Canis lupus familiaris: one gene and its partners. The protein of the gene in region 2 purifies or fractionates together with the protein of the main gene of each other region. This does not show direct contact. Links are inferred from orthologs where the notes say so. Each region holds a gene or a part of one and is shown on either strand. Other genes may lie near its edges. The genes, in order: EGFR, LRIG1 and ERBB4.

Region 1 (4,332 bases), on a different chromosome or scaffold from region 2:
CAGGGCCGGGCGGGGGGTGCTGCTCCGCGAGGGGGAGGCACGGGGGCGAAGATGCGCCGGGTCTCCAGGACGGGGCGGGGGGGGGGGGCGGCTGCTCCGCCAGGGGGAGGCACGGGAGGGGAAGGCACGGGGGCGGAGGTGCGCCCGGGTCCCCGGGACGGGGCGGGGGGGAGGGGGGCTGCTCCGCCAGGGGGAGGCACGGGGGGCGGAGGTGCGCACGGGTCCCCGGGACGGGGGGGAGGGGGAGGCACGGGGGGCGGAGGGGCGCCCGGGTCCCCGGGACGGGGCGGGGGGGGAGGGGGGCTGCTCCGCCAGGGGGAGACACGGGGGGCGGAGGTGCGCCCGGGTCCCCGGGACGCGGCGGGGGGGAGGGGGGCTGCCCCGCCAGGGGGAGGCACGGGGGGCGGGGATGCGCGGGGGTCCCCAGGGCCGGGCGGGGGGTGCTGCTCCGCGAGGGGGAGGCACGGGGGCGAAGATGCGCCGGGTCTCCAGGACGGGGCGGGGGGGGGGGCGGCTGCTCCGCCAGGGGGAGGCACGGGAGGGGAAGGCACGGGGGCGGAGGTGCGACCGGGTCCCCGGGACGGGGCGGGGGGGAGGGGGGGCTGCTCCGCCAGGGGGAGGCACGGGGGGCGGAGGTGCGCACGGGTCCCCGGGACGGGGGGGAGGGGGAGGCACGGGGGGCGGAGGGGCGCCCGGGTCCCCGGGACGGGGCGGGGGGGAGGGGGGCTGCTCCGCCAGGGGGAGACACGGGGGGCGGAGGTGCGCCCGGGTCCCCGGGACGCGGCGGGGGGGAGGGGGGCTGCCCCGCCAGGGGGAGGCACGGGGGGCGGGGATGCGCGGGGGTCCCCAGGGCCGGGCGGGGGGTGCTGCTCCGCGAGGGGGAGGCACGGGGGCAATGATGCGCCGGGTCTCCAGGACGGGGCGGGGGGGGGGGGGGGGGCTGCTCCGCCAGGGGGAGGCATGGGAGGGGAAGGCACGGGGGCGAAGATGCGCCGGGGTCCCCAGGACGGGGCGGGGGGGCGCTGCTCCGCCAGGGGGAGACACGGGAAGGGGAGGCACGGGGGCGGAGGTGCGCCCGGGTCCCCGGGACGGGGCGGGGGGGAGGGGGAGGCACGGGGGGCGGAGGGACGCCCGGGTCCCCGGGTCCCCGGGACGGGGCGCCGCCGCCCGCCGTCTGGGCCGCTCGGCTCCTCCCGCCGCCGCCTCCGCCGCCGCCTGGCCCCTCCCCCGGCGGCCCGGCCCGGCCCGGCCCCCGCCCCCGCCCCCGCCCCCGCGAGCTAGACGTCCGGGCCGCGCCGCGCCCGCAGCCTCCGCCCCCGGCACGGTGCGCACGCCCGCGTCCCCGCGAGTCCGTCCCCGGCCCGAGTCCCCGCGAGCCCGTCCCGCGGCCGCCGCCCCGCAGACGCGACCTCAGGCCCCGCCGCCCGCCGCCCGCCGCGATGCGCCCCCCGGGGCCCGTGGGAGCCGCGCTCCTGGCGCTGCTGGCGGCGCACTTGCAGGCGAGCCCGGCGCTGGAGGAGAAGAGAGGTGAGCGCCTCCCGCCCTCCTTTCCCGCTTCCTGGAGGGCCGGCTGCGCCCCTGCCGGGGCCGTGGGAGGAGGAGCGGCCGCGGGTTCCCGGGCCGGGGCGTCCCAGGCGGCCGGACGGCAGGCTCCCTGCGCGGGGCCCGCGGGGCTGCAGCGCGCGCAACTTCCCGGGCTCGGCGGCCGCGGGGCGCCCCGCGCCTCCTCCCGGGGCCCGGCTGCGCTCGGGTGCGGGGTGCGCGCCCCCGGGGCTCGGGGCGAGCCGGGTCCCCCTCCGCGGCCGCGGACCTCCCGAGCACACCCCCCCCCCGGGTGTCGCTGCACCCCGACCTTGCCAGCCGGGGCGGGCCCTCTCCTGGGGTGCGCGCACCCTTCTGGGGGGGTCTCGCGTGTGCCTCTGCCTGTGGCTGCCGGGAGGGAGGAGGCGCGGGCTGCCCTCCTCGGCTACAAGGGGGTGCGCTGGGCTCCCCCGCGCGCGGCCCCACGGCGCTTGTCCGGCTCTCCATCCCCCTGCGCGCCGGGCGCACCGGGCTCCGCGCGCGCCCCTGACCTCCGGGACCTCCGGGACCTCCGGGACCTGCCGGCACCTGCAGCCCGTGGGGTGCGTCCCCAGGCTCCCGGCGGCGCCCGGACGCACGGAGCCCCGTCCTGCTCAGGTCCCCTCCGCTTCTGGAAATGAGGCCCACGGCACACTTTCCTTCTCAAGATCCCGAGACTTCTCTCGTGGGGGGGAATGTTCCTTTTAGCCTTTTTGAAGAATTTGACGTTGGGCCAACCGAAATATTGAAGGTGATGTTTTTTGAAAGAAGGACTGATGTCCGTGGCTCACCGGTGCCGAATGTCCAGACTGAACATGAGCGAGCCTTGGCTTCGTGACTACCGGCCATAAACCCACTTGACATGAGAAACATGCCTCCGAAGGCTTAATTACACAATTTCAAAATCAAGCAACCCGGGTTCCAAGAGTCAGGTCTGTACTTGCTGCTGATGTCATTGGCCGGCGCTGAGTGAGTTGGTTAGGGCAGCATTAATGCACAAGCCGGTGTGGTTCCCAAACTTCGCTGCGGGTTACAATCACTTGGGATCTTCAAACCAAACCAAACGAAAACTCAGGTCTGGCCCCCCACCCCCACCCCAGACATCCTGATTTCCTTGGTCTGATCTGAGACCTGGGCATCAGGATCTTCGAGAGCTCCTCTGGTGGGTCCGCTGGGCAGCCAGGTTTGGGGATCACTGGTGTAGGGGAGAGACTGCTAAGGTCTCTGGAAAGATTACCTGCTAATGTAAAGAAGCTTTTTTGGAACATCTGGAGTGTTAACAACCTTGCAAAATATAGGAAAGAGGAGGTGGAGGGTGATTTCAGTAATAGGGGATTAGTCTTTTCACCGACAGAGCTGGTGGAAAGCTCTGCATCCTCTAAGGAGTCTGAAGGGCTCCCCTTCATCTCTGCGGGGAGCCCTGGAGGCTGTGGTCCTGCTCCTGCAACAGGGTCCTCTTAGGCAGGTGGTGTCTCTCCCTCTCTGCTACAGGGCCCCCCCCGCCCTCCTTAATTTAAATTGACTCTTGGAGCACCTCCAAAGCATCACTTTGTGTGTGTGTGTGTGTGTTTTAAAAACTCCTGAAGTGTTTGCAGCTCTTTGCTCTTCCCCCTTTGAACACTGCTATTAGTGCTTGGAGATGTGTTTCCAAGAAAATGTATAAATACCGCTTAATTTGCCTGTCCTGTATTTGCTTAAAACAGAATGCTCCTGGACACGATTGTGAGGGTGGGCGAACAGATGTCATTCTGTTAGAGTAACATTACAAAACCAATTTCAAAGGATGAATTATTAAAAATATAAAAGGAGATGTTTTTACCAAAGGTGTTAAGGACCCTTAGCAAATTCAGTCGGTTTTGTTCAAGCAAATTTACTCGGTTTAGAGAGCCTTTTTTCCCTAAGATTTGGTATCTTCTGTTCTTATGGCTCTTGGTACTGTCAAGCACTGTCTTACACGTCCTTTTAATCCTTACATTAGGCATATGTGGTGAGTACGCGCTTTATTAAAAGGGGGAACTGAGGTCCAGAGAAGTAAAGCGACTTCTACATTTAGGAAGAAGCAGAGCCAGGGTTCAGACTCAGGCCTTCTCACCCGCGAGTCCTGCCTCCTCCACCTAGCTCCACTGCCCCCTGTGAGTTCTGGTTTTAGGAGAGCCAGATCGGGTGTGTGCAAACACCTAGTGGCAGGTGCTGGGAGGCGGAGGAAAGGACCAGGGAACGGGCTCCTTAGGACTGGTCTCTGTGTGAAACTTGGAACAAACATCCACCTATTGGGTGGTCTAGACTCTTGCTCCTTTACTCAGTAGTTGCTTTGCCTTCTGTGGAGGCAGCTCAGTCGCCAGAGCAGCAGTGAGCTTGGACACTGCTCGCGGATTGTTAAGCAAGCCCCTCTCCCTTGCAAAATGGAAAGGTAAAGGTGTTGCTCCAGAAGAGAGACCCTGGGTGGTTCTCTGGGGAGTGCGGGGGGCCTGTCCCAGCTTTTCCTCTGAAGACATTCTCGATTTAGTAGGCTGTGTTGAAGAGGAGGGAATGAGAGGATTTTGAATTGTATCCCAAGTGAAGATCCACTACCCTCTTTTCTCTCAGGAGTTCAGAGGTCAGGAAGCCCAGTAGGTTGTGGCCTGGAAGCCGGGACGTCTCTTCTCGTTCCAGCTCTGTGTCAGGCTGGACGTGGCAGTTACCAGCCCCAGGCTCCTGAGTCCATCTCAGAATTCAAAGAGTATTTATTGAGTGCATAGAATGTGCTGGACATTATGAGTTAAAAGGGGTAAG
Region 2 (3,489 bases):
ACCACCGTAAAGAACATTGTAAAAAGGACCATTCTAGTAGCCTTGCCACTTGTTCTCATCAGGCTGACTCTGAGGAGTGAGCCCCTCATTTCTAACTGTGGGAATCTACTGCAGGTGTTTGTCCGAGAGACGCAAGCCTCTTTGCAGAGGTGGACGCTCATGGCGTTACGTGCAGGCAGCCCCAGCTCTGCACCGGATGTAACAAGGAGCCGTGGGACGGGATGGAGAAAGCCCAGCGGAGACCTGGTCCGCAGAAGATGGGTAAGAGATGCTCTCATCAGGCAGCCTTCAGTTCTTGAAATTAAAATTCAAGTAGACCTGTTCATTCAGTGAGAGAGATGCATTACCGGTCTAAGTCTAGCTCAGAGTTTGGTATTCAGTGCATAAACAGGAAGCTGTGGCCTGGCTCTTGTAATCTGAAGTAGCATGTCTCCTAAATAAATCTGTGCTGTGGTGAGCCTGGGCTTGAACTTTCCAGATTTATAGGCAAATTAAATAAGGGGCAAGGCCCAAATCAAAGTCTCTTTTCACCAGGGCTGTTTCTGAGACTATTTGTCTAATTATTCCAAAGACTCCTGACACCACAGGGATGTCATGCAGTGGGATTTTTTTTTTCCCCCCTCTGTGATCAGAGCAGTAGGACCACTTTCTCTCATGAAGCAATTAATCTGAAATGCTGAAACATGGAGGGCCCCTTCTTCACTAATGGCTCGGTATCAGCCCAGTCCTTTCTCTGGGCTGATGCAACACTTGGGGGAAGAGGAGAGTTTTCATAGAGTTGGTCTGTGCAGGCCCCTGGAGCTCCCTGTTCCGGGTGGGGATGCAGACCTTGGTGGCCATGGCTCTAATCTGTCTCCGTCCCCGCAGAGCACAGTGGCCCGGCTGCGTGCGGTGACTGTAACACTGACTCGGACGGTTACTCCAAGGAACAAGCTTTCTATCCTCAGCCTGTGACCAGAGATGGCGCACAGCCCGGTACACTAAGCAGCCAGGAGCCCAGTCAGACGGACCGGGAACATTCTCTGCATCATATGACCAGTGGGACTGCTGACAGGTCCCGTGCCGACTGCAAGGGGTCCCTCTATCCCAGTAACCACGACAGAATGCTGACACCCTTGAAGAAAAAGCCAATGGCACCTCCAGATGGGAAAGGTAGATGTTCATGGTCTTCCAAGGAGGCACCTGCAGGTGGGGGCGGGGAGGGGGTCGGTAAGCAGCCGGACGGGAGGCTCTGACATGCCCTCTCCTTTCTCACAGGGGCCTCCTCTTGGACTTTAGCGAGGCTGTGTGAGCCAGACTCCATAGACCTCCAGCCTCCCTCGACATTAACTCCAGGCAGTCCTGAGCTCCCAGAAGCCTCCTCGGGCTTTCCTGACGTCCCCAGTGAAGGCCAGCACTTGCTTCTTTCCAACGGACACCTCCCCCAAGCGTGTGACTCCAGTCCCGAGTCCCTACCGCTGACAGGACAGCTCCCCGGGCAACGGGGCGTACCCCTGCTCTTTGCACCGAAAAGCTAGGCTTTGTCTACCTCAGCTCTTGTGTCCGTCTCTACAGGAAAGAGGTAGGAGAGGCTGTAAGGAAGCTTGAGTTCAAGCGTCACTGATGTGTACAGAGTTTTTAAACTTCCATGTGGAGTGTCCGTGGTCTAAAGGACTTGCAGCTGAAGCACAGAACCGCCAGAGGCTATTGTGTACAAAAGCAGAAAAGTATTTGATACCATTGTACATAAGAGTTTTCAGAGATTTCCTATATATTATATATCTTTTGCAGAGGCTATTTTAATCTTTAGTGCATGGTTAACAGAAAAAAAAGTACAATTTTGACAATATTATTTTTCATATCAGGTTGCTGTTTAATTTTGGAAGGGGGGCAGGGAATAATAGTTCTGGTGCCTTAATGCATGGATGGAAGTTGTAGAAGCTAAAAACCACATTTGCTCCTAGGAGTATCTGGCGGGTGGGGAGGGGAAGTCCTTGGGTTTGTATTGCACTTCATAGGCCAGCCCCGTGGGAGGCTGTACGGCCCGAGCCTTCGTGTGCGTTGGAACTCACTTCCTGTCAGTATTGCTCACGTGTGGCTGCTCTCGCAGCTCCCCTCCCTGCAGAGTCCAGAGATGCCCATGTCGTCCTGTACCTCTGCCATACGTGACTTTCTTGAAAGTTTAAGTTCTTGCCAAGCAGGACGGGGGTGGTTAATCTGCCACGAGGCATTTGTTCCAAGCAATTAAGCACTGCCTGCCTTTCTTCTATGAGAAAAGCAAATGTGGTTGTCATCCGTATCGTTCGATTGTCATTCGAGGCTTTTTATTAAGGTAGAGGCTGCTGGTGTTGGTACCTGTGGATTTTTCAATAGTGATGTTTTAGTTCTGCCAATATAATTAATATGACATTGATCATGGGGGAGAAAAAGGATCGAGTCCTTACTTTTCAGGGCTAGCTTATCTCTACTGAGGATCCGGAGCCTGTCTCTCCACGTCCTTCCCTCCCACCGACAGACCCGGGCTGGGACTGTACAAGCTTAAGAAGCCCTTGACCGGGGCCTATTTGCACTTTGGAGACCTGTAGCTAACCATCTTGTGAGTGCCAATGTGTATTTCAGGAAAAACTGCATTGAAACAAGGTCCTTAAAATCTCAGAAAGCAAGTTCCTTTAGCCAAAAAGCTGAAGGTACAGACTGACAAAATGGTTGTTAAATTTTACTGTCCGGTGTCATCACTGTTCTAAAAGGTAAGCACATTCAGACTTGTGTTCTCAACAGTCAACTGATTAATGTTACTTCCACAAAATATGTGAATTTGCTGCTTCTGAGAGGCAATGTGAAAGAGGAAGTATTACTTTTATGTACAAAGTTATTTATTTATAGAAATTTTGGTACAGTGTACATTGAAAAACATGTAAAATATTGAAGTGTCTAACAAACGGCGTTGAAGTGTCTTTAATAAAGGTTCATTTATAAATGCTGATTGTGTGGCTGGGGCATTCTTCTACCTATGCTGTAAGCGGCACTGTTTCACCCCGTTCTGTTCCAAAAACTCCCTTACATTCTGCCTTTAATTATCTGTTTTCCCAAAAAGGGGAAAATTTCTTCTCGGCAAGCAAAATCATATACTTGTTTGCTCCGGGGAAGATACACCACCCCTGGATTCCTGAGATTTCTAACAAACACCTGGAGCTTATTAGTCAAGCTCTGAAATGGTGACCTCCCCCATTTCGTCCCTTCTAATTTCCAGTACTGCGCAACAGACCTGACCAGGCGTGGAGAAATGGTGCTGTCTCCCCGCTGGCCCAGGCCCCTCCTCTGGGGCTCGCGGGGAGGGGGACTCAGGTCCTCAGTGGGCCCACCACGCCCTCCCAGGCCCTGGGCTGCAACTGCTGGCTCTGTCTCACACCACGTGGGCTGCTGGACACTTCTCTGTAAAATAATACAGTCGTGTTCTTTAGGGGACATCTGAGGGTAATTAGGAACAGCAGCCTGGCTGCCAGAAGAATG
Region 3 (3,646 bases), on a different chromosome or scaffold from region 2:
TAGATTGCATTGAGAAAAGGTACCATGAACCTTCTAAGAGAAAAAGTACAAGCCAGCCTGTATAGACTCACTGTGGAGCATCCCTTGATTTTATCTCTGAATACAAGTTTCTATAGAAGATTATTGTACTCCAGCCTACTTCTCAGAGAGTAGAGAATGTTAGTATAGACCTTCATTACACTTTCAATTAATGAGTTTCAGGAACCTGGTAAGGAAAATCAGATTCTGTCTCCCTTAAAAGTTTGTTTGCATATATTTTTCTTAAAATGTCAATTGCTTTAAACACCATTCAAATTCCAACATGTTATGAAGTGAAAAGTTTTTCCTACCCCTTTAGGGACAATAATTAAAACAGTACAGTAGAACAAGGAAATGGCTCAACAGGAGTTTTAGAACTGAATTCTAGTTCAATACTGCTTGTATCCTTCATACATCATTTAATCTTGGTTCTCTATTTATAAAAGTGAAAAAAAAAATACAGCTTATACTTCCTTTCTCACAGGATTGCTGTGAGGAAGATGTAAGTTCCTGTCATGCCTATGTATGATGGTGGGATAGTAATTACTATCCTTGAACTTGCACATGATGCTAAATACTTAAGTATATCAAAGACCATGGACTAATCACCCTAAGTTGATGCAATTTTTTTCTCTACTTGTCAGGCTATATATAGAGGATAGAAAGTTTGTTTCAGAACGGTGGCATCTCAACAAACAATTATGCCCTTCCCCTGCCCCAACACCAAAATAGGAATAGCTGAAGTGTCATTTCTGTGTAGACATTAAAAGAGAGGACAAAAAGGTCTACTCTGCATGAATAGATGTCTATATATCGTCTATACTATAAACATAGAGAGAATTATATTTGAGAAGAACAGCATTGATAACACCTTTTTAAAAATTGGGTCAATATTCTGTATTAATTTATCAGATCAGATCATGCAAAATAGCCATTATAATGACTGGTGCCAATCTACAAAACAGTTATTTCATATAATTCAAACTAATAATTTGTTATTTTGTGATTATGGTTAGCCATTGGAAGTAAATGCTCTAATTACACTTTATTCTTAGGCATATGTATTGTCGAGCAAGTCAATCTAGTGACATGCTAGATGTCTATCAGATTTTATTAGTTGAGTCTTTTCTTTAGATGTTTCCTTTCCTATATGTAGTGCTTTCTGAAAAACATCTGTAATCAAATCCACTTTACCTATATGGACATCAGAGCAAAACACACAGACTGAAAAACACTATTCCTTCACTTTATCCATTTACCTTGGCATGGAGCTAAGCCATAGACATTTTGATTTTCCAATACCCTTTAAAAAATTCCAATTTCTCCGCATTTAAAAGCTATTTACCCCTGATAGATTGCCTTATTTTTCATCAACAATAAAATACTGACTTTTAGAAAACAGAAGCATTCAAACAAGTGGCCTTCTATGTAGGAGACATAAATGCAATTAGAAGGAAAAAGGAACAATGTAGGGGACAGGAACTAGGGCTTCTGGCCTGCGGTGCTTTGCTAAGTCATTAAAGAGTTTTGGTCCACCTACTCTTTTTTTTCATATGACAAAAGTAATAGACAAAGTAGTTTTTGTAAAAATTCATGAAAACAAATCCATGGCTTTATGATTCTGGAGAAAGAAGCTGACCATCCTGCATTACCTTCTTCTAATTAACATTTTCCAGAAAGTAGATACTAACTGATATTTTTGCATTCCTCAGAATACTTGAACCCTGTGGAGGAGAACCCTTTTGTTTCTCGGAGGAAGAATGGAGACCTTCAAGCTTTGGATAATCCCGAATATCACAATGCTTCCAATGGTCCACCCAAGGCAGAGGATGAGTATGTGAATGAGCCACTGTACCTCAACACCTTTGCCAACGCATTGGGGAATGCCGAATACCTGAAGAACAATGTACTGTCTGTGCCAGAGAAGGCCAAGAAAGCATTCGACAACCCTGACTACTGGAACCACAGCCTGCCACCTCGGAGCACCCTTCAGCACCCAGACTACCTGCAGGAGTACAGCACAAAATATTTTTATAAACAAAATGGACGGATCCGGCCTATTGTGGCAGAGAATCCTGAATACCTCTCTGAGTTCTCGCTGAAGCCAGGCACTGTGCTGCCTCCTCCACCCTACAGACACCGAAATACTGTGGTGTAAGCTCAGCAGTGGCTTTAAGATACAGACACACCCGCTCCAATTTCCCTGCCGCCTCTCTTTCTCTTATGGTCTTCCTTCTATTCCCAAGGCCAGTAGATTTGACACTTCCCAATGGAAGATATAGAGATGCAATGATAGTCATGTGCTTATCTAACTTGAACACTAGAAGGAAGAACTGAAAGAGAAAGACAGGAGGAACCACACTGTTTCTTCATTTCTCTGCATGGGTTGGTCAGGAGACTGGAACAGCTAGAGAAGGGCCAACAAATAAAAGGCAATACTGCCTGCTGTCAAGCTAATTCTCAACGTTTTCTCTTTCTTCTTTCTATTTTTTTTTTTTTAATGCAGATGCCTGAAAGACCCATGCTATCTGTTCCTATCTGTAGGAACTGATGTATGCATTTACACTATCCTTGGAAATTGTAATGAAGTTTCCATTAGAACAAAAGGATAACCTTTTCTATAACAAATGGGAGTAACTGAAATTGAAAATCCAATTTCCTTTTCCAACAGTTTCTATCCTGACAAGCAAGAATGGCCAACTCAGCTTTCATAATTTTTTAATCTCTCTAAAAGTTATAACTAGTAATAATGTTTGGAGGGATTTTTTTTGGTCTTTTTGTTTTGTTTTGTTCTGACAGCTTTGATCTGTCTCTTTATATTACTTTTACCTCCCTATATTTTGACTTTAATTTCTAATTGCAAATATTTTTACATCAAAGTTTCTTATGTGTTGCTATAAATTGACAGAATTGTAAAAAAAATATTTTATTATGGTGAAATGACCATTATTTTAAATATATGGCCTTTAAAATAGAAGGGGAGGCCAAGATATTAGTTAAGTGTAACATCAAATCTAACTCTCATGTTTTACACTATGGAATATGTACCCCCACATCTTTTACATTCTTCAACATTTTCTTCTCCATGAATGACAGTACTTGATAGGCAGTTGGTAGTGTAAAGAGTAAATGGGAAACTAAGAGACAGTTCTATGTGGTTCATGAAAACTACTGACACTTTCAGGGGTGGTCCAATGGGGAATCCATTGAACTGGAAGAGACACTGGATTGGGTATGTCTACCTGGCAGATACTCAGAAATGTAGTTTGCACTTAAGCTATAATTTTATTCGTTCTCTTTCTGAACTCCATTTTGGATTTTGAATGAAGCAATATGGAAGCAACCAGCAAAATAATTTAAGTACATTTTTTAAAAGAGCTAAGATAAGGAAAGACTGTGGAAATGCCAAACCAAGCAAATTAGGACTTTGGAACAGTATCCAAGAGATTATGGTGAGAGGGCCAGCACATTATCAACAAGTGATATCACATTTGCTACGCAAGAAAAGTTATCCAGTTTGTACACTCCATATGAAGGAATGCAAGTAAGGATTGGCTTGACTCCATGGAATTTCTAGTATGAGACTCTATTTATATTAAGTAGAAGGTAACTCTTTGCACATAAATTG

What was found.
Region 1: the proteins of LRIG1 (region 2) and EGFR purify together in Homo sapiens (affinity purification with western blotting; 4 studies listed by BioGRID and IntAct, with this or other methods). This does not show direct contact. The link is inferred for Canis lupus familiaris from reciprocal best matches to the Homo sapiens genes LRIG1 and EGFR.
Region 3: the proteins of LRIG1 (region 2) and ERBB4 purify together in Homo sapiens (affinity purification with western blotting; 3 studies listed by BioGRID and IntAct, with this or other methods). This does not show direct contact. The link is inferred for Canis lupus familiaris from reciprocal best matches to the Homo sapiens genes LRIG1 and ERBB4.

Annotation. Positions count from the first base shown.
Region 1 is NC_049239.1:5,959,421-5,963,752, forward strand, and holds the start of EGFR (epidermal growth factor receptor), read left to right. Parts: upstream 1-1,424; 5' UTR 1,425-1,439; coding exon 1,440-1,527; intron 1,528-4,332. UniProt on the Homo sapiens protein: Receptor tyrosine kinase binding ligands of the EGF family and activating several signaling cascades to convert extracellular cues into appropriate cellular responses.
Region 2 is NC_049241.1:25,160,415-25,163,903, forward strand, and holds the end of LRIG1 (leucine-rich repeats and immunoglobulin-like domains protein 1), read left to right. Parts: intron 1-114; coding exon 115-261; intron 262-867; coding exon 868-1,152; intron 1,153-1,257; coding exon 1,258-1,517; 3' UTR 1,518-2,306; coding exon of another isoform or gene 2,307-2,334; 3' UTR 2,335-2,962; downstream 2,963-3,489. Other genes in the region: SLC25A26 (S-adenosylmethionine mitochondrial carrier protein), read right to left, coding at 2,307-2,334, 3,245-3,411. UniProt on the Homo sapiens protein: Acts as a feedback negative regulator of signaling by receptor tyrosine kinases, through a mechanism that involves enhancement of receptor ubiquitination and accelerated intracellular degradation.
Region 3 is NC_049258.1:18,897,247-18,900,892, reverse strand, and holds part of ERBB4 (receptor tyrosine-protein kinase erbB-4), read left to right. Parts: intron 1-1,730; coding exon 1,731-2,176; 3' UTR 2,177-3,646. UniProt on the Homo sapiens protein: Tyrosine-protein kinase that plays an essential role as cell surface receptor for neuregulins and EGF family members and regulates development of the heart, the central nervous system and the mammary gland, gene transcription, cell proliferation, differentiation, migration and apoptosis.